2 linked regions of the Stegostoma tigrinum genome follow. The protein of the gene in region 2 interacts with the protein of the main gene of each other region in a pairwise test. Links are inferred from orthologs where the notes say so. Each region holds a gene or a part of one and is shown on either strand. Other genes may lie near its edges.

Region 1 (10,034 bases), on a different chromosome or scaffold from region 2:
AGAGGGTAGTCAAGAGTCAACCACATTGCTGTGGTTTGGAGTCACAGGTAGGCCAGACAAAGGCAACAGTTTCCTTCCCTTCAGGAAATTGTGAACAGGATGGGTTTTACCCTAGACAAGTGGATTTGACTAATTCCAGATTTTTTACTTTTAATTTAAATTTCACCAGCTGCTTTAGTGGGGGGGTTCAAACCTGGGGTCCCTAGAACATTGTTGTATTGTTAATTCAGAGACAAACAATAGTACTGCTAAGCCATTACCTCCCCAGTAATAATAAAAACAACTTTGTGTAGCCAGCATAACCAAGATTGTGACAATTATATTCAGTTAGGCTTTTAAAGCTTTAAATGTACTCAAGTTGTGCTAAGCTCCTGTGAAGTGACAGACCCTACTGAATCAGACCAAGTTGGAAAGGCATGCCAACAAGCCAGTGAATGTTAAACATTTATTCCAAGTGTCAAATCAAGCCAAATAAAGAGTCGGGGGGGAAGAAGTGGACCATAGCATAATTTTTAATATTCAAAAGAAGGTGGTGACATTTGTTAGCAAGGAAAACAAACTAGTGTTTGACAAATTTAAGGGTATTTCATGTCCTTGGAAGTGATGTCATTTTCCTCCAGATGGCTTCAAGCCATCTTCACTTCAGTAAGTGTTCATTGCACTGGCTGCTCATACTATAACTGCTGCAATTTAGCAAAATCGTTGCATTGGTCTGAGGCCACTTGACTAAGCAGGAGTACCAATGGCAATGAAGGAACAATAGACATTTGACTAAAAAATAAAGTTAATACAGGTGGAAAAGCAGTGACAAATCATGTCTGGATGAGCAATGCAAGGAATTTATTGTTTAAGATCAAAGCATTCTCACCATCTTGCTGAAGGGTAAACCACCATTGTTCTGCATGAGGCCAGATTGGTTTGCAAGGTGACTGATTAAAAAGGAGCTGCAGTGGGGAAATGGGCCCCTAATGCCAGTTAACAGAACAAGTAAAAACAACTCAACTTTTGACTCTTGCCCTCAGTCCAGTTAACTTGCTCAGATGTTTTGTGCCTTGAACAGGAGACACCTGAACCTAGGCCTTCTGGCTCAGATGTGGTGCAGTGGTAGTAACCCTAATAGCCCTTCACTCTAGCACATTTTAGTGAGTCAAAGCCAAATCTAGTTGCAAGTAATAATGTGAATTTGTTTTGGGGTGGGGGGTAGTAAGGATGGAGAGGAGCGTGTGTACTTTAAAACAATTCTAAGACTAGTCATTTAATTCACCTATTTGTACATTTCCTTAACTGTGGCTTCTGGCCACATGTTAGAAGCAGCACTAGTCATCCTGATTCAAGCAAGACAAGCAATTAAATCCATAAGCCTGAAAACACTCAGAACAAATTCAAGTAGTACAGCTGCAAAAGAACCTCATTGTAAACTATATGACCATGCCTTGTCTCAGTTTCAGGTTTAGGTTTCCAGAAAGCTGAAAGCTACACCTGTTATCCTACTAAGATCAAGCTACCCTACAGTTCAACAGGAGGAAAGTTTAAGGGAGACATGCATAGAAAGTTCTTTATGCAGAGTATGGCAGGTGCCTGGAACACTGTCAGAGGCAGGCACGATAGTGTCATTTAAGATGTATCTAAAACAGATAGATGAATGGGCAAGGAACAGAGGGATACAGATCCTTGGAAGATAGGCAACAAGTTGAGGGGGAATCTGGATTGACAGGCTTGGAGGGCCAAGGGGCCTGTTCCTGTGCTGTAAATTTTGTTCTTTACACAATATTGAACACTGCTTCTCCACTAGAAGATTACAAGTTAAAGAAGGTAGCATTACTGAAACTCAACAAGCCTGTGCCATCACATCCTCCCAGCAACTCTTACATTGGTCAAGCACCGTGACTCAAGTTTAAAAAAGGCATATTAAAGATTAGCTCCCTTTGTGTAGGTAGACATTTCTATTTCATGAAATATGAGCAACAACACCAACTCCTGCACATACTGACAACATAACAGCTGGCTTGGATTAAGCAACAAGGGTGCAAAAAAGTTTGGTGAAACTAAAGGGGATATTGGAAATGCAAAGAATGACTAGTCACTTTTGGGAGGTTTCACTCATACACATTACTTCAAATTTACAAAATTCCCCATGAATCACATTCCTATAAACTAGGTTTAGCCACAGCTTTGCAGTCACTAGATGACAGCACAAACTACTTGTCTACACAGTTTATACGTCATGTGCCATGGCTATTACTGGAGTTCAAGAATTAAAATCCACTCATGAAAGCAATCCAAAAAGAGATGATCAGTGTTTACTGGTCAAGTGTGGACCAATAAAGCTTCCCAGGTTGATTTAACCTAAAACACCAAGGTTCAAAACATCAAGAGTCATTAACTGAATTTTAAGTCAAGTAAACACCTGGCTACAAACAGGGGGTTAGTGCAGATTGAAGAATGACGTTAACAGCGATGGGATGAAAGAGCTTTGACAGCCATAGCATGGGAAGTCTTGTTCCCAGTGGATTCCAAACCCTATGTCCAGACTGCCAATCACTGCCATGTTAGCAGTGGCAACAGGATGGAAATTAACTTAAAAACAGGCACAATACAGGATGTCCTTTTACCACATTAGACATGTACTGTGGAAGCCTAACCAGATTTGAAGTTCATTTCTGAACTCAGGTTTACTCAATCTCAAGGTCTGGAACATTTCATTTATTTGCTATCCTATGCAAAATAAGCACAAGTAGATAAGAGTCCAAGAATTCTAATACTAGATTAGATGAGATGAATTTAGGGTTTACAGGCATAACACAATTCTGAAAGAAGCCTTAAAGGCAGACCTGGAAATGTTCAGAGTAAACACCAAGTTTTCAGTCAAAAGTATGATATTACCAAAAAATTCAACTAGACTGAATTGAGCCACAGGGGCAGCCAGGCAAGAAAAAGTGTACAGAAATAGCTTACTGGAAGGGCCCTATGCTTCATATCAGAAGGACTCTAGCTCAATAAAACCTCCAGAAAAAAAGAGACAAAATGCAGTTTGAACATATTACAAAAAAAGTGAAACTTCTGCACAGTAGCTTAGACAATTTAGACTTTTTTTTACAATGATGGTTTGCTTCACCACTGCATTAAGTGATTAATAGTCAAAGAACTTTATATTTGCAGGCATTTGATTTGGCTTTCCTTGCCCCAATAATCATTTTGCTCCCCCAGTGCAACTGTATCTTGCATAAGAGCAGTCAAGTAACAGTTGATAAAACCCAATTTTCCCCTAGAGATTTTACTTAATTCAGACTTGATAGATGAGCCTTTGGCTCTTTCACTGAGGAATGCTGTGGGTCTTACCTAGAACTGATCAGATTAGAGCAGAGGTTTTAACTTAGTCAATAGTGACTTGCACTGGATCAGCCAGTCACCCTTAAATGGAGGGTGCATGAAAGTACCTTTGAACTGAAGAAACAGTCTGCACAGTGAGATAAATACCCAACCCCCACACAGAACCACTAAAGGAAAAAAAACTAAGTGCAAGTACATCCACATCCAAGATGGAAGACAAAACCAGGAGAGAGAAAAGGCAAAATTAAAAATTAAAAGTATTGACACTCCTGTTGGCTGCTTAAATTGAAAAATGGAGCAATCAACTGCACTTCGTAGGAGCTATCTACTTCAAAATAAGTAGTGGCTGCTTTCCTTCAAAAGGAGAGAAGCCATATGTAAAACAATACATTCTATCAAATATGAGAACCACTTGCATGCAGCTGGTTTTTGCTGTTTGAGTCAGTTGAATTTTTAAATTAATACAAACTATTGACAATGCAAAGTGCTGGGAATATTCAGACAGAAAACGTTTGGCATTTGTTGAGGGAAAAACAATCTTGCCTTTACAGAGGTTGTTAGGCCCACAGTCTTGTTGCTCTTTCCTCGAACTGCACTGCTGGTGAAGAAGACACTCGCAAGTAAATTAGTTTGCTCATTGACCTTTAACTTATTCAAGTATAGGCTATGCATGTGGATCTCTATTGGCAATTAATCATGTTTGTTTTCAATTGAATTAATTGGAAAGATAGTCTTGGGCCATCGGCTTGATTTATACGAGAGACAAAGATTAGTGGGCTGAGCACTCAGTCACATTACGTCGAGGACACTGTCCCCACAGAGAAGCACTAGAAAACGGGTGTTACGTTGTATTAGACAGTGTTATTAGCGCTATGACATGGTCCTCAACTTCAATAGGGGAGACTAGCAATATGGTCCAGAACGTTATTTTAACGTCCCACCGAAACAAAACGAAATCTCAATAGCAAGAAAGGATCAAGGCTTACTTCAAGGAAAAACCCTGCTCTAAGTTAGTAGCCATCGGCTGACAACATCAATGCCATACTTGTGGTGGGGGGCGGAGTGTTAAAATCTGGTCTTCGGATAGAAGATACATTGATGAATATTGAAGTCGGCTTCTACCCGCCCATTGGAAAACACTTAGCAAAACATTTTGTGGAACACAGAACCTTCAATTAGGAAGAACCCACATTTACCTTTCATTAGGGACAGGTAATTTACAAACAATGATGACTAGAATCAGATTTTTGTTTTACCTTCACGACGCCTTCAACTTCACAAGTTTTTTTTTAAAAAATAGGGTCGCATGAACTGGAGACCGAGCCAAAAGTCTGGACCACTGCCGCCTGCGTAAGTTGATTGGCAGCACTGGAATAGAATAAAAAGTTGACAAATCCTTATTGACAGCTAATTTCACCAATGACAAAAGAAGGCGGGTAGAGCCGTGCACATGACCAATAGCGATAGGTGCTCCAAGTGATTAACAGAAAATTCTGACCACTGGCCAAATGATTTTAGGAATAGGTGATTATGGTAAGTGAACCAATCAGAAAGCTGATCTAGTGAAGGCGGGACTTCCTGTGGTCCGGTGAAGTTGGTTGCCCCTTTGTCATCAGGTGACAGAAAACAATGAGGTCAGAGTTGACTTCTATAATTGGAAAATATATGCGTTGCATTTTTTGCATAGCGCAATTAATATATCATCATAATAATATACAGGAAGGCCCAAAGCGCTCCTAATATTGAATGATTGATTTAAATTCCTGTTGTTAGATTTAACAGGACAGAATATCCCTATTTCTTTGAAATAATTTCAATTCGACCAAACTTGCAGCATTTATGTGAGTACATTTCCATCTCTTGGGGGTCACTTAAGAAAGAGCTTGAATTTCTATAATGTTTTTCACTGCCTCAGGAAAACCTAAAATTCGTTGCAGCTGAGAAAACATTTTTGAATTTTAAACACTGGTGTAATGTAGGGAAACACGGGGTGTCACAGTGCCTCAGTGGTTAGCCTCTGGGTGTTCCAGTTTCCTCCCACAGTCCACAGATGTGCGCGTTAAGTCTGTTGAAACTTGGGAACAGGGTGAGTCTGGGTGGTATGCTGTTAGGAGGGTTGGTATGGACTTGATGGGCCAAATGGACCAAGCTTCCACTCTGTAGGGATTTAATGAGTATTACAGGCAATTTGTACATAATACACAATAATAATTTGTAATTTTTAATGCAATTTAGTCTTCACTAGCAGTAGTAATTGTATATCTCTAAATTGGTGAGTGCCTTCTTGAACCATTGCAGTCCATGTGCAGTAGCCAGACCCACAGCGTTCTTAGGAAGGGAGTTGCAGGATTTTGATCATGTGACAGTGAAGGAAATACCCATTTGTCTGCTGCCTTGTCCTTCTGCATGATTGTGGTTGTAGATTTGGAGGCTTGACAAATTCCTGTAATGCACCTTCTAGATAGCACAAACTACTACAAGTTTGGACTGATGGTGGAGAGAATATATTTTAAGATGATGGACGAGTGCCAATTAAGTTGATTGATTTGCCCAGGATAGTGTCACTTTTCTTGAGTGTTGTTGGGTCTGTACTCATCAACATTCATTATATATGAACATAGAAATTAGGAACAGGACTAAGTCTCTGAACCTGCTCCAATATTTGATAAGGTCGCAGTTGATTTTATTGTGGCACTAACTCCACTTTCCTGTCTACCACCTATTTGTCTTATCAATCAATTATCTACTTAAATTAGTTTTTAAAATATTCAATGATCCAGCCTCCACTGCTTTCTGGAGAAGGGAATCCACTGATCAATCTCCCTCCGTGAAAAACATTTCTCCTCATTCCTGCCTCAAACTTGTCAAGAGAAGAGTGTGTATGCATGATTACTCTCCTGACTTGTACATGGTTTTGAGGAGTCAAGAGGTGAGTTACTCACTGCCGAATTTCCAGTTTCTGATCTGATCTCTTCGTTCATATGGCTGGTCTAGTTAAGCTTCTAGTCACTGTTTTACCCCCAGGATGTTGACAGTGGGAATTCAGCCATGGTAATGACACTGAAGATAAAGGGGAGATGGTTAGCTTCTCTCTTAGTGGAAATGGTCTCTGCCTGGCACTTAGGTGGTACAAGTTCAACTTGGCACTTTAGTGTTTAAGGAATTGCAGGACAGGTACGGCAAGGGGTTAGATACAGGGTAAAGCTTTGGGAAAAGGCAAGAAAGTGCAGTTGAGCATTAGCAGATCAGCCATGATCTTGTTGAAATGGGAAGGTAGACTCAATAGGCTGAATGCCTTACTTCTGCTCTGATGTCTTACAGTCAAGCTCTTGTTAAAGACTAGCAAGTCATCAAAAACAGGTGTTTGTGCTGTACGAGATACTGGGGCAGTGTTGGATTATTAGGTATATAATTTGACTATCCTTCCAGACCATATTTCTGGATTTCAATATTTTCTTCATCCTATCTTTGGGCTTCTTGTATATTTGACAACTTCCTTTCAGTAACTGGTAAGTGGTTAGTAACCTCTGAAGTGTAGGCTTCAAGCTCCTCAATACTAAGGTTTAACCTTTTGTTCTGATGGTATCCTTGAGAGAGTTTCTGCTGTTGTTTGGTACTTCCCTTGGACATACTCAGTAATTGAATTATGCCTCACAAATTTTAACCTGAACCACTGACTTCTAGGCAGCATCTAGGCGATTTCTTTTGTGATCAGAAGACAGGGTTTATGGTTGGTTTCAATTTTGAGGTGTAACCTTCATATGCCATGTTACTGCTAAAGTTTCTTTCTCAATCATGGTGTAATACTGTTCTGTTTCTGTTAGTGATCTAGTGGCATACTAAACTTGTGCATGCTTTTCATTTTCCTGCATTTGAAATTGCACTGCCCCCAATTCTGTAGATTACATATCTATCGCTATTATATTCGGTAAACCTGGATGATAGTTGCTACGATTTCTGAAGAGATCAGAAGTTGTTAAATTTTTTGAAAGCACTTTCTTGGTCGATGTTGCAGCACCATTGACAAATGTATTTTAAAAGCTGTTACAAAGGCTTATTAACCTCTGCCAAGTTTGGTAGAAACTTGCCCAATAAATTCACCATAGCAAGGAGTCTTTGAATTTCCATGACATTCCTAGGTGAGAAAATTCTCATAGCTTTTCTGTGATTTCAGTGACAACACAGTGTAGAGCTGGATGAACACAGCAGCCAGGCAGCATCAGAGGAGCAGGAAAGTTGACATTTTGGGCCTTGACCCTTCTTCAGAAAATGATTTTAGTGGCTTCGTTATGATCCCAGCTAGTGGTACTATTGGACAAGTCAGATCCCAAAGTGAAACCTGGCTTGATAGACCATACATTTTATTTCTATTGTGCTAGTCAGTCATAGAACATATTCACAAAAGCCTGCAATTTAAAGTTCAGTTGGCATGGCTGTACTCGGTTTCTTTTCAGAAAGCCTTTGCATTCACTCAATGCTATTTCTTTAGTCAATATCTCTTCCTGAGACCCTTAAACAGACTTAAACATGATGTGGAGGTGCTGGGGTGGACAAAGTCAGAAGTCAAACTTAAACAAGCTAACTTAATTCTGAAATAAAAACAAATATTGCTGGAAAAGCTGACCATTTTGTGTGATTGTTTCCTAGAGAAACAAAAATGGGCTTGAGATCGGTATGACAGGTCGGCACAACATTGAGGGCCGAAGGGCCTGTACTGTGCTGTAATGTTCTATGTTCTAGGTGTAGCAGCATCTGTGGAGAGAAATCAGAGTTAATTTTTCGGGTCAGAACTGTGGAAGCTAAAAAGTTAACTCTGATTTCTGTCCACAGAAGCTGCCAGACCTGCTCAGATTTTCCAGCAACTTCTGTTTTTGTTTCTGATTTACAGCATCCGCAGTTATAGAGCCACAGAGTCATCGAGATATACAGCATGGACACAGACCCTTTGGTCCAACTTGTCTATGCCGACCAGATATTCTAAATTAATTTAGTGCCATTTATCAGCATTTGGCTCATATCCCTCTAAATCCTTCCTATTCATGTCCCCATCCAGATGCCTTTTAAATGTTGTCATTGTACCAGCCTCCTCCACTTCCTCTGGCAGCTCATTCCATACACGTAACACCCTCTGCGTGAAAATGTTGCCCCTTGGGTCCCTTTTAAATCTTTCCCCTCTCATCTTAAACCTATGTTCCTCTAGTTTTGGAACTGCCTACCCTGGGGAAAAGATCTTGACTATTCACACTATCCATGCCCCTCATGATTTTATAAACCTCTATAAGGTCACCCCTCAGCCTCCGATGCTCCAGGGAAAATAGCCCCAGCCTATTCAGCCTCTCCCTATAGTTCAAACCCTTCAACCCTGTTCTTTCATTTTTTAAATGACATTTTATACAGTTGAGTTCTTTTAATGTATTGGACATTATTCTCTGAAACATTTCTGGGATGAGTGCAATTCTGAAAGGTATTCTTTTCAAACAATAATACCTGAAAGGTGTAATCAATTCAGTTAACTTTCTAGAGTCCTCATCCAGAGGTAAATGTCAAAATCCACTGTTTAATGCATAGGGTGCTCTTGGCAAATTTTGCCAGACTTTCATTGATTAAAAGCCATTAGGTGAATTCATGCTCCACTGCTTTGTTGAACTGCATTAAATCTACGCACATTCTTATTGAAATATATTTTTTTGGAAAACTAATCGTACTGGAATACCATCTTGTTAGCATGGTAACTGCTGAAATTACTCTGTGTTGTAGTCCATCTTCTATTTCTTATCTTAAATTTTGCCCAACAATGTCCTCAGCATGCATAAGCAAATTGGTTTAGCATCATGTAGATGATGGGATATTCAGTCTTTAAGTTTCCCTGCTCTGAAAACAATTTTGTAAACTCACTGAAATATAGTTGTTTGCTCAGCATCAGCAATTTCATTGACTTCACAAGTTAATCTGAACTTTAAGCAGGCCTTTCTGCTGTGTAGAGAATATTCTCAATTCTGAATGACAGAGATTCCGAGAATATTCTTCCCTTACATCAGAGCTTTGCCAATGAGTTAGGCTTTTACCTTCAATGATCTTCATCCGGGATCTTGTAACTTCATGGATGTTATTTGAACTAGTTAAGTAGATCTGATCTAGAGTGATTTGTGATTGCACATAATGCAGCAAGGCCACCGTACATGCTGTGAACCAAGGGGGTTTGGTGGGTGGGGTGGGAGAGTGGAAGGCTGGCAGCAGGAATGTCTGCCCTCTCTAGCCTTGTGAGAGCAGGGGCCTACCTGCAGGCATGTGATTCTGCACCCACTTCCTCTGTCTCATCTGTCATTTATCCTCAATGCAATTATTCATATTACACACTTTCAGCAGCACCATTTTCTTCCATGACGTCTGGGTTGTGACAGAGCACGTGCGTGTTCACATTAAATGCGTCCAATAGCAAGGCACCATTTTCTGTATGTAGTTTAAACATGGGGGGAGGAGAATCCATATACTACTAGTTTGATACTCCAATATTTATTACATGTATCATTATTTGTTCCTAAATAAAGGTGTTTTTAAAGAGTTCTCCCTTTGTTTTCCAGTTGTGTATATTTTCAAATAATACAGTTGGTTCTGCTACAACGCGATAGTTGCATTCCTGCGCAACATTGTATAATAGAAAATCGTGCTATAGAAATAATGGGGCCTATGGGAAAAGTGGGGTT
Region 2 (10,148 bases):
AAAGACATTTTGTCAAAACCTTTCGAGCACTTATCAGGACATCTGCAAGAGTACCAACGTTAAGTATGACAATATTATCAAAATAAATGCTATCGCGATGTCAAGTGGACTCAAATTGGTAGACATGTTGCAATGGAGATTGTATCAGTTAGTTCATGACTGACAGTTAACTGCCAAGCTATATCAGGAAAGTTGACTCTGAATAATTTCATCAGGACGTGGCTCCCAAGAAACCGACTTGATATTGGCTGCTGCCATTTTGTTACGTTGAAACAGATGTGAGTACATGTTATCTGCAAATAGGGTCTTGTGCCATTTTATATGTAGTTCTTCCAAGTGAGCCACACTGCAAACTGAGCTGACAACCTTACATTGGTTGTCAGCATAATTATTAGCATGCTCAGGGTTATTCAGCTAATGTTTTAACAAAGAGTCAATCTGATAGGATGAACAAGAGAAACCTTTTTACTCAGAGTGGTGGGAATGTCAAGCTTGTTCCCACATGAGGCAAACAACATAATGACATGTAAAGGAGAAGCTGGATTAACATCAGGGAGGGAATAAAAAAAAGTACAAAGATATGCTGATAGGGTAAATGAAGTAGGCTGGCTAGAGCATAAACATTGACATAGGTCCATGGACTGAATGACCTGTTTGTGTTGCACAACTGATGGGCTTGTCAACAGATGTCAAAGAACCAGATTCAGCCCAGTACCTGTCAGGATGAGTCCAACTTAAAAATGCATTATTTCTGTCCTCAGTTGATCCACCTATAACTGCTCCTTTAAATCTCAGGTCCCACATCACAGTTCTGCAAACCCACTGCTTTCAAGATTGTTAACTTCTGTCACATCAGTGCACAGGCCTGTTTCAATCATTCCATAAACACCACTTTCTGAAATATGAAAGTACACAGACAAGACTGCAATGAGAAAATTGACCTCTCAGCCACAGGAGCCATACAGTGAATGATTTTTCCATCACAACACAGCAACAATTCTGGCTAATGGCTTCATGTATGCCCTCCCACTTGTTCAACCTCAAAGTCAAACACCTCTCATTCCTGACAGTGCCAACTGGCTGGAATGCAAAGCACAGCATCAAATGCGTCAGCAAGGACGGACTAGAAAGAGATCATAATGTGCAAACTCACATTAGACTGAGGCAAACTCACAGAGTGGAAAACATGGGGGCCCCTCAGAGGATGTTAATGAACTTGTGAGGAGCAACATTCAGAAACAAAAACATATCAAAAAAAACAAGCATTATCATGACTGAGCGTCAACTGCACCTCATCTGCCTACATGTAAAAGCCATGCATGAATCCTCATGAACCATGTAACATATCACATGACTTTGACCCAGAATGTGCACACTGTCCTACTATACTTCAAATATCTCACCTTTACCCACTTTCCAATCAGCGTTATTCAAATGCAATCCCAGAACAGAAGTAACTCAACACCTCTCTGAGCATCAACCCATTGCAATGTACAGAATAAACACATCTAAATTGGTAATTAAAAACCAAAAGAACTGCAGATGCTGTAACTCAGGAAAACAGAAATTGCTGGAAAGGCTCAACAGGTCTGGCAGCATCTGTCAAGAAAAATTCAGTTAATGTTTCGGGTCTTGCAACCCTTCCTCAGAAGTAATCTAATTTAGTACCTTCTCAGGGCCTAAGGTTGCAGGCTAGCAGGTGAAGGAGCCCTAACAAGTACAATGCTACCACCAGACAGAGGAGTGCCTTTAAAGTGGGTGAAGTACAGTCAGCATGCAATTTGTTCCTGACTGTTGCTGTGCTTTCCGTGTGTTGTTAGAACTGCTTCTGTCCAAAAAAGTGGACAAAAGTGTTTTTGTTCAGTAGAATATTCAAAGATTTGGTCAGAAGAACATTCTAAAACAGTAAAAAACAATACAATCCTAAAAGAGTGGATAAGCAAAGGGACCCATACACATCTATCAAAAGATCAATGAGAGTGGCAGGCCATTTGGAGATTGCAGTTAATAAAGCTCTGCGGTCAGCTATACTAATAGCGGCATACAGTACAAAAACAGGGAGGTAATGTTGAAATTGCACAAGACACATAATAGACCTCATCCAGAATTCTGTGTACAGTTGTAGGGACATTATAAGAAAGATGTGAATGCACTGCAGGTAGGACATAGATTATTTACAAGCATGGATCCAGGGATGAGAAACTACAGTTATTAGGATAGATTGAAGAAGTTGGGATTGGTCTCCTTTGAGAGAAGGCAGCAAAGAGGATTTCTGATGTAGGTCCTCAAAACCATGAAAGGACTAGACAGAGTAGACCAGGAGAAGCTATTCCTGCTAAAAAAAATTGCGAGGAACTAGATATAAAAGGATGCACAAATGAAGCAAGGATGATGTGACAGAACTTTTTTGGGGGCAAGCAGTTAGAGTATGGAATGCATTACCAGGAAATGTGATGGAGGCAGGTTCAATAGAGGCATTCTAAAAGTCATTAGATGATTACTGAGATGTAAATGGTGTGCAGGGATATGGAGAAGAGTCAGGCAATAGGTAACAAAACCAGGCCAGGCACAATAGGCTAAATGGGCTCCTCGTGCGCTGTAACAATTTTGTCATATTGTGGAAATGCTTTATCCTGGATGGTGTCAAACTTCTTGAGTGTTGTTGGAGCTGCACTAATCCAGGCAAGTGGGGAGTATTCCATCACACTCCTGACACATGCCTTGTGGATGGCGGTTAGGCTTTGGGGATTCAGGAGGTGAGTTACTTATTGCAGTATTTCCAGCCTCTGACTTGTTCTGTATTTATATGGCAAGTCCAATTGAGTTTCCGATCAATCGTAATTCCCAGGACGTGAAGAGCGGATGATTCACTGATGGTAACACCATTGAATGTCAAGGGAAAGTGGGTGGATTGTCTCTTATTGGTAATGGTCATTGCCCGACAATTGCATGGTATGAAAGTTACTTGCCACCTTTTTGTTTTGCCCAAGGCTGGATATTGTCCAGATCCTGTTGAACATAGACTGCCTCAGTATCTGAGGAGTTGCAAATAGTGCTGAATAATGTGCAATTATCAGCAAACATCGCCACTTCTAATGTTATGATGGACGTAAGGTCATTGAGGAAGCAGCTGAAGATGGTTGGGCCAAACAGGGCAGAGTATCAGCACAACAACTCCCCCCAGGATAGTGTCCCACAACACCCCTAACACTTAGACAAAAAGCCAAAGCAAAACCCCCTCCAAATCTCCACCCCTCAGTTGTGACCCTCTGCCAAGGCATGTCTAGTCCCAGTAATGCACTGGTAGCCAAGTTTCTTTATCTCAGCTTTAGTATTGGGTCTATAACATGACCCAGAATCAAGATGCTTACCACTCACCTATATCACACACAAGGTAAAGAGGCACCAGGAATTGGCTGGTAAATAATTTGCCATGTGTTGAGCAAATGTGAAATAAAGCGACTGAATAGAAACATTCTGGGAGACATTTGTTATGATCTGCAGAGAGACCAATAACGGTGAGAGCAGAGACGGACACCGAGCAGGACCTGAGTGTAGGTGCCATAACAAATGAGCTTCTTTTAGAGAATATATTCTCTGCTAATACCACACTCCTGGAAGCATGTGTCTCAGGTCCCAAAATAACATCAAGCCACTGTAGGAAGCCAGTCTCATTCTTCTGGAATATGTCTAACACACCAGACAGCAACAGAACTGTCAAACACAGAAAACTGACAACAGACAAAAATAACATTGCACAAGAAATCTAACACAACCTTTAAAACAAGGAAATACAGAAAATACACCAGGGCACAGAATGCAGTTTTAACCCCGTTCAGCAGATGGATGGCTTATGGGATCGGGATTTACAACCCTGCCCAGTATTAATGATAATCCACTAACTTCAGAGTGAATTGGGAAGGATAGTTGATGAAAGGAGACAAAGCCTGTTTTCTGACACAGTTTCAATTAGATTTATTCCCAGACACACCCAACCCCATTCCCACATTCAGGAACACACAGACTCACACAAGATCACAACCCAACCAATCCTCCCAGTGACCCTGAACCACCCCAAATAGCTGCCCGCCTCAGACATACTGCCCACCCACAACAGCCCCTCGACCAACACCACCCACTCACCCAGAAAAACCCTTAGACACAAACACAGAGCTATGCGACCCCACCCCAAAATGGATGGTGTCAAAGGTGGGGAGGTGGCTGGGGGTTGAGGGTAGGGAGAACAGTGACAGACGGGGTGAGGGTGGTGGGTGTGAGATGAGAACGGGGTGTGTGTGTGTCGGGGTGGGGGTGGTCCGTGCCCCGTCCCGGGTGGGGCTCGATGCTGCCGCAGGCCGCACTCAGGCCTTGGCTCCTGCAGGATGGGGAGGAGTACCCAGGGCCTGCCTGCCGGGGCCGGGATCCCAGCCCGTATCCCTCAGACTCACCCGCTGCAAAATCCGGCGGAACATGGCCTGGTCCTGCCCGAGAGACAGACGGAGCCGGGGACACGTTGAGCAGAGCCTGGGCCGCCGCCTCCTCCTTGTCCTGCCAGAGCCAGCAGCCGGCTGTGTTAGCCCCACCCAGAAAGGGAGGGGCCTGAGCACTAACGCCCCCTGGCCGAGGGGATGGGGGAGGTGCCCCCGGGGTGGGGTTGGGGGAGGTGCCCGCAAGGTAGGGCCAGTGGTTGGGGGTGGGTGTCACCGGGTTAGGGCCAGGGGGTGGGGGAGGTGCCCCCGGGGTAGGGCCAGGGGTTGGGGGTTGGGGGAGGTGCCCGCAGGGTAGGGCCGAAGGTTGGGGGAGGTGCCCCTGGGGTAGGGTTGGAGGAGGTGCCCGCAGGGTAGGGCCAGGGGTTTGGGGAGGTGTCCTCAGGGTAGGACCAGGGGTTGGGGGAGGTGCCCGCAGGGTAGGGCCAGTGGTTGGGGGAGGTGTCACCGGGTTAGGGGTTGGGGGAAGTGCCCCTGGGGTAGGGCCGGGGGTTGGGGGAGGTGCCCCTGGGGTAGGGTTGGGGGAGGTGCCCGCAGGGTAGGGCCAGGGGTTTGGGGAGGTGTCCCCGGGGTAGGGCCAGGGGTTTGGGGAGGTGTCCTCAGGGTAGGACCAGGGGTTGGGGGAGGTGACCCAGGGTAGGGCCAGGGGTTTGGGGAGGTGCCCCCGGGGTGGGGTCGGGGGATGTGCCGGCAGGGTAGGGCCAGGGGTTGGGGGGGTGTCACCGGGGTAGGGCCAGGGGTTGATGGAGCTGCCCGTAGGGTAGGGCCAGGGGTTGGGGGAGGTGTCACCGGGGTAGCATAGGAAGAGGTGGGGGTTAGTGCCATACCTCTCTCTCCTTCCTAGATCTCTCTGCCTCCATCTCTGCTGACCGCCTCAAAACTGACATCTATTTCAAGCCCACCAACTCCCACAGCTACCTAGACAACACCTCCTCTCACCCACATTCCTGCAAGAATGTTATCCCCTAGTCCTAATTCCTCCGCCTTCGCCGCATCAGCTCCCAAGATTAGGTGTTCCACTCCCAAACATCCCAGGTGTCCTCTTATTTCAAGGACCACAACTTCACCCCTTTAGTGGTCAAAAATGCTCTCCACTGCATCTCTTGTGTTTCCCGCACTTCTGCCCTCACAACCCCTCCCCCCCAACAAAAACAAAGACAGAATTCCCCTTGTCCTAACATATCACCCCACCAACCTGCGTATCCAATATATCATTCTCCGCCACTTCCACCACCTACAATCTGAACCCACAACCAACAATATATTTCCTTCCCATCCCCATCTGCCTCCCTTAGGGTCTGCTCTCTCGGTGACTCCCTCGTCCGATCCACACTCCCCACTAATCCCACCAGCCCCACAGCCCTCAGCACCTCTCCCTGCAACTGCAGGATGTGCTACACCTGCCCTTACACCTCCCCCCTCATCCAAGGCACCCAACAAACCTTTCACATCAGACAGAGATTCACCTGCACATCCGTCAATGTGGTCTATTGCATCCACTGCTCCTGATGTGGCCTCCTCTACATCGGTGAGACCAAGCAGAGGCTCGGAGATCGCTTTGTACTGTGCCTACACTTGATTCACGACAAATGACAACGCTTTCCAGTCCCGAACCATTCCAACTCCCCCTCCTACTCCCTGGGTGACGTGTCCATCCTGGGTCTCCTCCAGTGTCACAATGACGCCACCCAGAAACTGGAGGAGCAGCACCTCATATTCCGCCTCGGGAGCCTACAGCCCAATGGCCTAAACGTGGACCTTGCCAGTTTTAAAATCTCCCCAAGTCCGGCCTCATCCCATGACCAACCCTCCCTCTCATCCAGCCTCCTTGACCTGACACAACCTGTCCATCTTCTCTCCCACCTATCCGCTTCTCCCACCTCACTTGACCTTCTTACAAAAGAAATTTGAACTTCCAGTTAACAGATGAAAGGCCAACATGAGGAGATTGTATTTTTGAGATTTATTGTAACAAATTAACTAAAAGTAACAATGACTGAACACTGCCTTTACTTTAAATTATAGAACCAAAATTTTTCTCCTTTACTTTTAACGTACTGAAAACCCAGTTTTCCAGGTAAACATTATGCTGTCTATCAAGCAGGCTGTCTATCAATTTTTAGACTCTTCCCCACAATTCTTTCTCTAGTACATCAACGACATCAATGACACCTGGGGCGGCATGGTGGCTCAGTGGTTAGCACTGCAGGCTCACAGCGCCAGGGACCCAGGTTCGATTCCACCCTTGGGTAACTGTCTGTGTGGAGTTTGCACATTCTCCCCATGTCTGTGTGGGTTTCCTCCAGGTGCTCCGGTTTCCTCCCACAGTCCAAAGATGTGCAGGCTAGGTAGATCAGCCATGCTAAATTGCCTGTAGTGTTCAGGGGTGTGTGGGTTGTAGGGGGATGGCTCTGGGTGGGATGCTCCCGGGGGGGTGAGGACTTGTTGGGCCGAAGGGCCTGTTTCCACACTGTAGGGAATCTAATCTAATCTGTGCTGCCTCCCTCCCTTGTCCTGATCTGGGAAAAAAAGATCAATTTCACTTCCAATTTCCACCCTACCCTCACCCTCATCTGGGCCATCTCTGACTCCTCCCTTCCTTTCATTAATGTCCTGTTTCTATTTCTGGGGAAATAGGCTGGCCACTGACATCTGCTAGAAACCCACCAACTTGCCTGGTTACCTGGACTGTACATTCTCGCACCTTGCTTCTAGTAAAAACTTGATCGCATTCTCCCAGTTTCTCCATCACTGTTGTGTCTGTTCTGACGATGCCACTTTCCTCAGGGAGCCCAGGAAATTTCCAGCTTTTTCCTCAACTGAGGATTCCCCGCTACTGTGGTTGAAAGACCCTTAGCCATGTCTGGCCCATCTGCCTTTACCCCTTCCCTTCCCTCCCACATCAACGATAGGATCCCACAGTCCTCACTTACAACACCACCAAGCCTCTGAATCTAAAGGATTGTAAGTCGCCAACTCCGTCACCTCTAGCGGGATGCCGCAAACAGGCACATGTTCCTCTCCCCACCCTTTGTCAGCATTCTGTTCCCTCTGGGACACCTTGGCCCACTCCTCGCCCATTCCCAACACCTCCCCACTCTCCCACAGCACCATCCTATGCAAACGCTGAAGGTGTTACACCTACCTGCTCACCTCCCTCCTCACTATCCACGGCCTCAAACACATCTACTGTAGTCCCTGCCCACAATGTGGTCTCCTCGACACTGGGGAGATGAAATACAGACTGGGTGACTGCTTTGCAGGACACCCAAGCTCTGTTTTCAAAAATGACCCCGAGCTTCCAGTTAGCTGTGACTTCACCACACCACTGTGTTCCCACACCAACATTTCCGTCTTGAGCCCACTGTTCTAGTAATCCTCAGTGCAAGCTCACACAGATCCTGGGGGGGGGTCTAGGCCCAAAACGTCAGCCTTCCTGCTTCTCTGATGTTCCTTGGCCTACTGTGTTCATCCAGCTTCACACAGTGTTATCTCAGATTCTCCAGCATCAGCAGTTCCTACTATCTCTCTCAAATCATGTAGCTGTTTTGTTTCTTAAATTGTCAGGGTATTTCCCCTTTATTTCCTCTTTTTCTGCTACCCTCAATCTTACCCATTAGCACCAGGTGTTTTAGTTTCCGTCTCTTGAGTGTATGACCAAGGCATTATAGTTGTTTTATGGTGACCATCTGCAGATGTTTTCTTGTATTTCTGCTTTGCTCAAAAGTCCCATGACTAAATCCAACTAATGCTATTTATAACAAATACCTTTTCTATACCATTTTCTAAAATCAAAACTGAATACCAGTAATACTATTTCTTGTCAAAATATTAAATATATTATAATGTTCTTCACTCTACCAAGTGATCCTTCCTAGTTTGTTTTCTTTATTTTGCTGAAATAAACCACACAGAATGACAGAAAAAGCCATTCAGCCCATTGTGTTTATTCCAGTTCTCTTAATGAGTGTCATGATCTAGTACCATTCTCTTGAATTTCCCCTGTAACCCCACATATTGATGATTATCTAAATAGAAACAATATCTGAAGAAGGGTCTAGGCCCGAAACGTCAGTTTCCTGCTCCTCTGATGCTGCTTGGACTATGTGTTCATCCAGCTCTGCACTTTGTGATCTCAATACCTCCATTGAACCTGCCTCCATCACGTTTCCAGGAGGTACATTCCCGACCCTAATCACTTGGAGGGTGAAAACTACTCTCGTCATACTTACCCCTTTTGCAAATTGCTTTAAAACTGTGCCCTCCCGTTCTTCACCCTTTTGAAAGCAGGAATAGATTTGCTCTCTGTGCCATCCAGATCTCTTATGATTTTGAAAATTACAATCAATTCTCCTCTCAAAGGAAGACAGTCCCAATGTCATAGCATCATAGAATCCCTACAGTGTGGTAACAGGCCCTTCGGCCCAACAAGTCCACACCACCCCTCAGAACATCCCACACAGATCCATCCCTCATAACCCAACTAACCTATGCATTCCTGAACACCATGGGCAATTTAGCACGGCCAGTCCACCTAACTTGCACACCTTTGGACTGTGGGAGGAAACCGGAGCACCCGAAGGAAACCCACACAGACACAGTGAGAATGTGCAAACTCCACACAGACAGTCACCCGAGGCTGGAGTCAAACTCAGGTCCCCAGCACTGTGAGGCTGCAGTGCTAACCACTGAGGGTAGTTACGTTGGTGCAGGATCGATGGGCCGAAGGGCCTTTTCTGTGCTCTATGAATCTATGAATTTCTCCAATCTACCCTCACAGCTGAAATGTGTCATCCCTGGAACTATTCTTGTAAACTTCTCTGTGCTCTCTCAAAAAATTCCTGAAGTGTAGCACTTTTATTCCAACTGAAATCTAACTTGTGCCTGAACATGTTCAACACTACCTCCCTGCTCTTGGACTCTGTCCCGTTATTAATGAAGGCTAGAGTTCTCCACCAGTCTTGCCACCTTTAATGACTTATGCACTCGGGTCTCTCTACTACCTTAGAATAGTCCCCTTTATTGTGTATTGTCTCGACATATTGTTTCTCCCAAAATGTATCACCACATATTTCTCTTCATTAAACTTCATCTGCTACCTATCTGACCACTCCATCTACTTGTGAATATCCTTTTGAAGGTCTGCACTGTCCTTCCTACATTAAGAATGCTTCCAACTTCCCCTGCCCCAATGTTTATATCATTAACATAAATCAGGAAGAGCAAGCTACCTTGCTTGGGAATTCCATTCCTCCAGCCTGAAAAATATCATTGGCCATTGCTCGCTGTTTCCTTTTGTTCAGCTGAGTTTGCATCCACATTGCCACAGCCCCTTTTATTCCATGAGTTAAATTTTATCACAAGTTTGTTATGTGCCACTGTATCATATGTCTTTTGGGAATGTGCACCACATCAACACCCTCATCAAGCCTCTCTGTTCCTGGTACATAGAAGTATGCAAAGTTAGTTAAGCATGATTTTGCCTTAAGAAATTGATGCTGGCTCTCCCAAGTTGACACACGTTTGTCCACGTGGCTATTAATTCTATCTTGAATTACTGTTTCTCAAAGTTAAACTGCCTGGTCTGTAATTATTGGCTTTATCTTTACAGGCTTTTTAAAACAAGGGTGTTATGTTTTCAAATCTCCAATCGTCTGGCGC

Evidence for each region. The genes of interacting proteins can lie anywhere in the genome.
Region 1: the proteins of eea1 (region 2) and ras-related protein Rab-5B interact in binary tests that used the Homo sapiens proteins (3 or more experiments, as listed by UniProt). The link is inferred for Stegostoma tigrinum from reciprocal best matches to the Homo sapiens genes EEA1 and RAB5B.

What each region holds. Positions count from the first base shown.
Region 1 is NC_081404.1:10,988,608-10,998,641, reverse strand, and holds the start of ras-related protein Rab-5B, read right to left. Parts: upstream 4,700-10,034; 5' UTR 4,587-4,699; intron 3,929-4,586; exon of another isoform or gene 3,874-3,928; intron 1-3,873. UniProt on the Homo sapiens protein: The small GTPases Rab are key regulators of intracellular membrane trafficking, from the formation of transport vesicles to their fusion with membranes.
Region 2 is NC_081378.1:49,457,168-49,467,315, forward strand, and holds the start of eea1 (early endosome antigen 1), read right to left. Parts: upstream 4,575-10,148; 5' UTR 4,473-4,574; coding exon 4,449-4,472; intron 1-4,448. UniProt on the Homo sapiens protein: Binds phospholipid vesicles containing phosphatidylinositol 3-phosphate and participates in endosomal trafficking.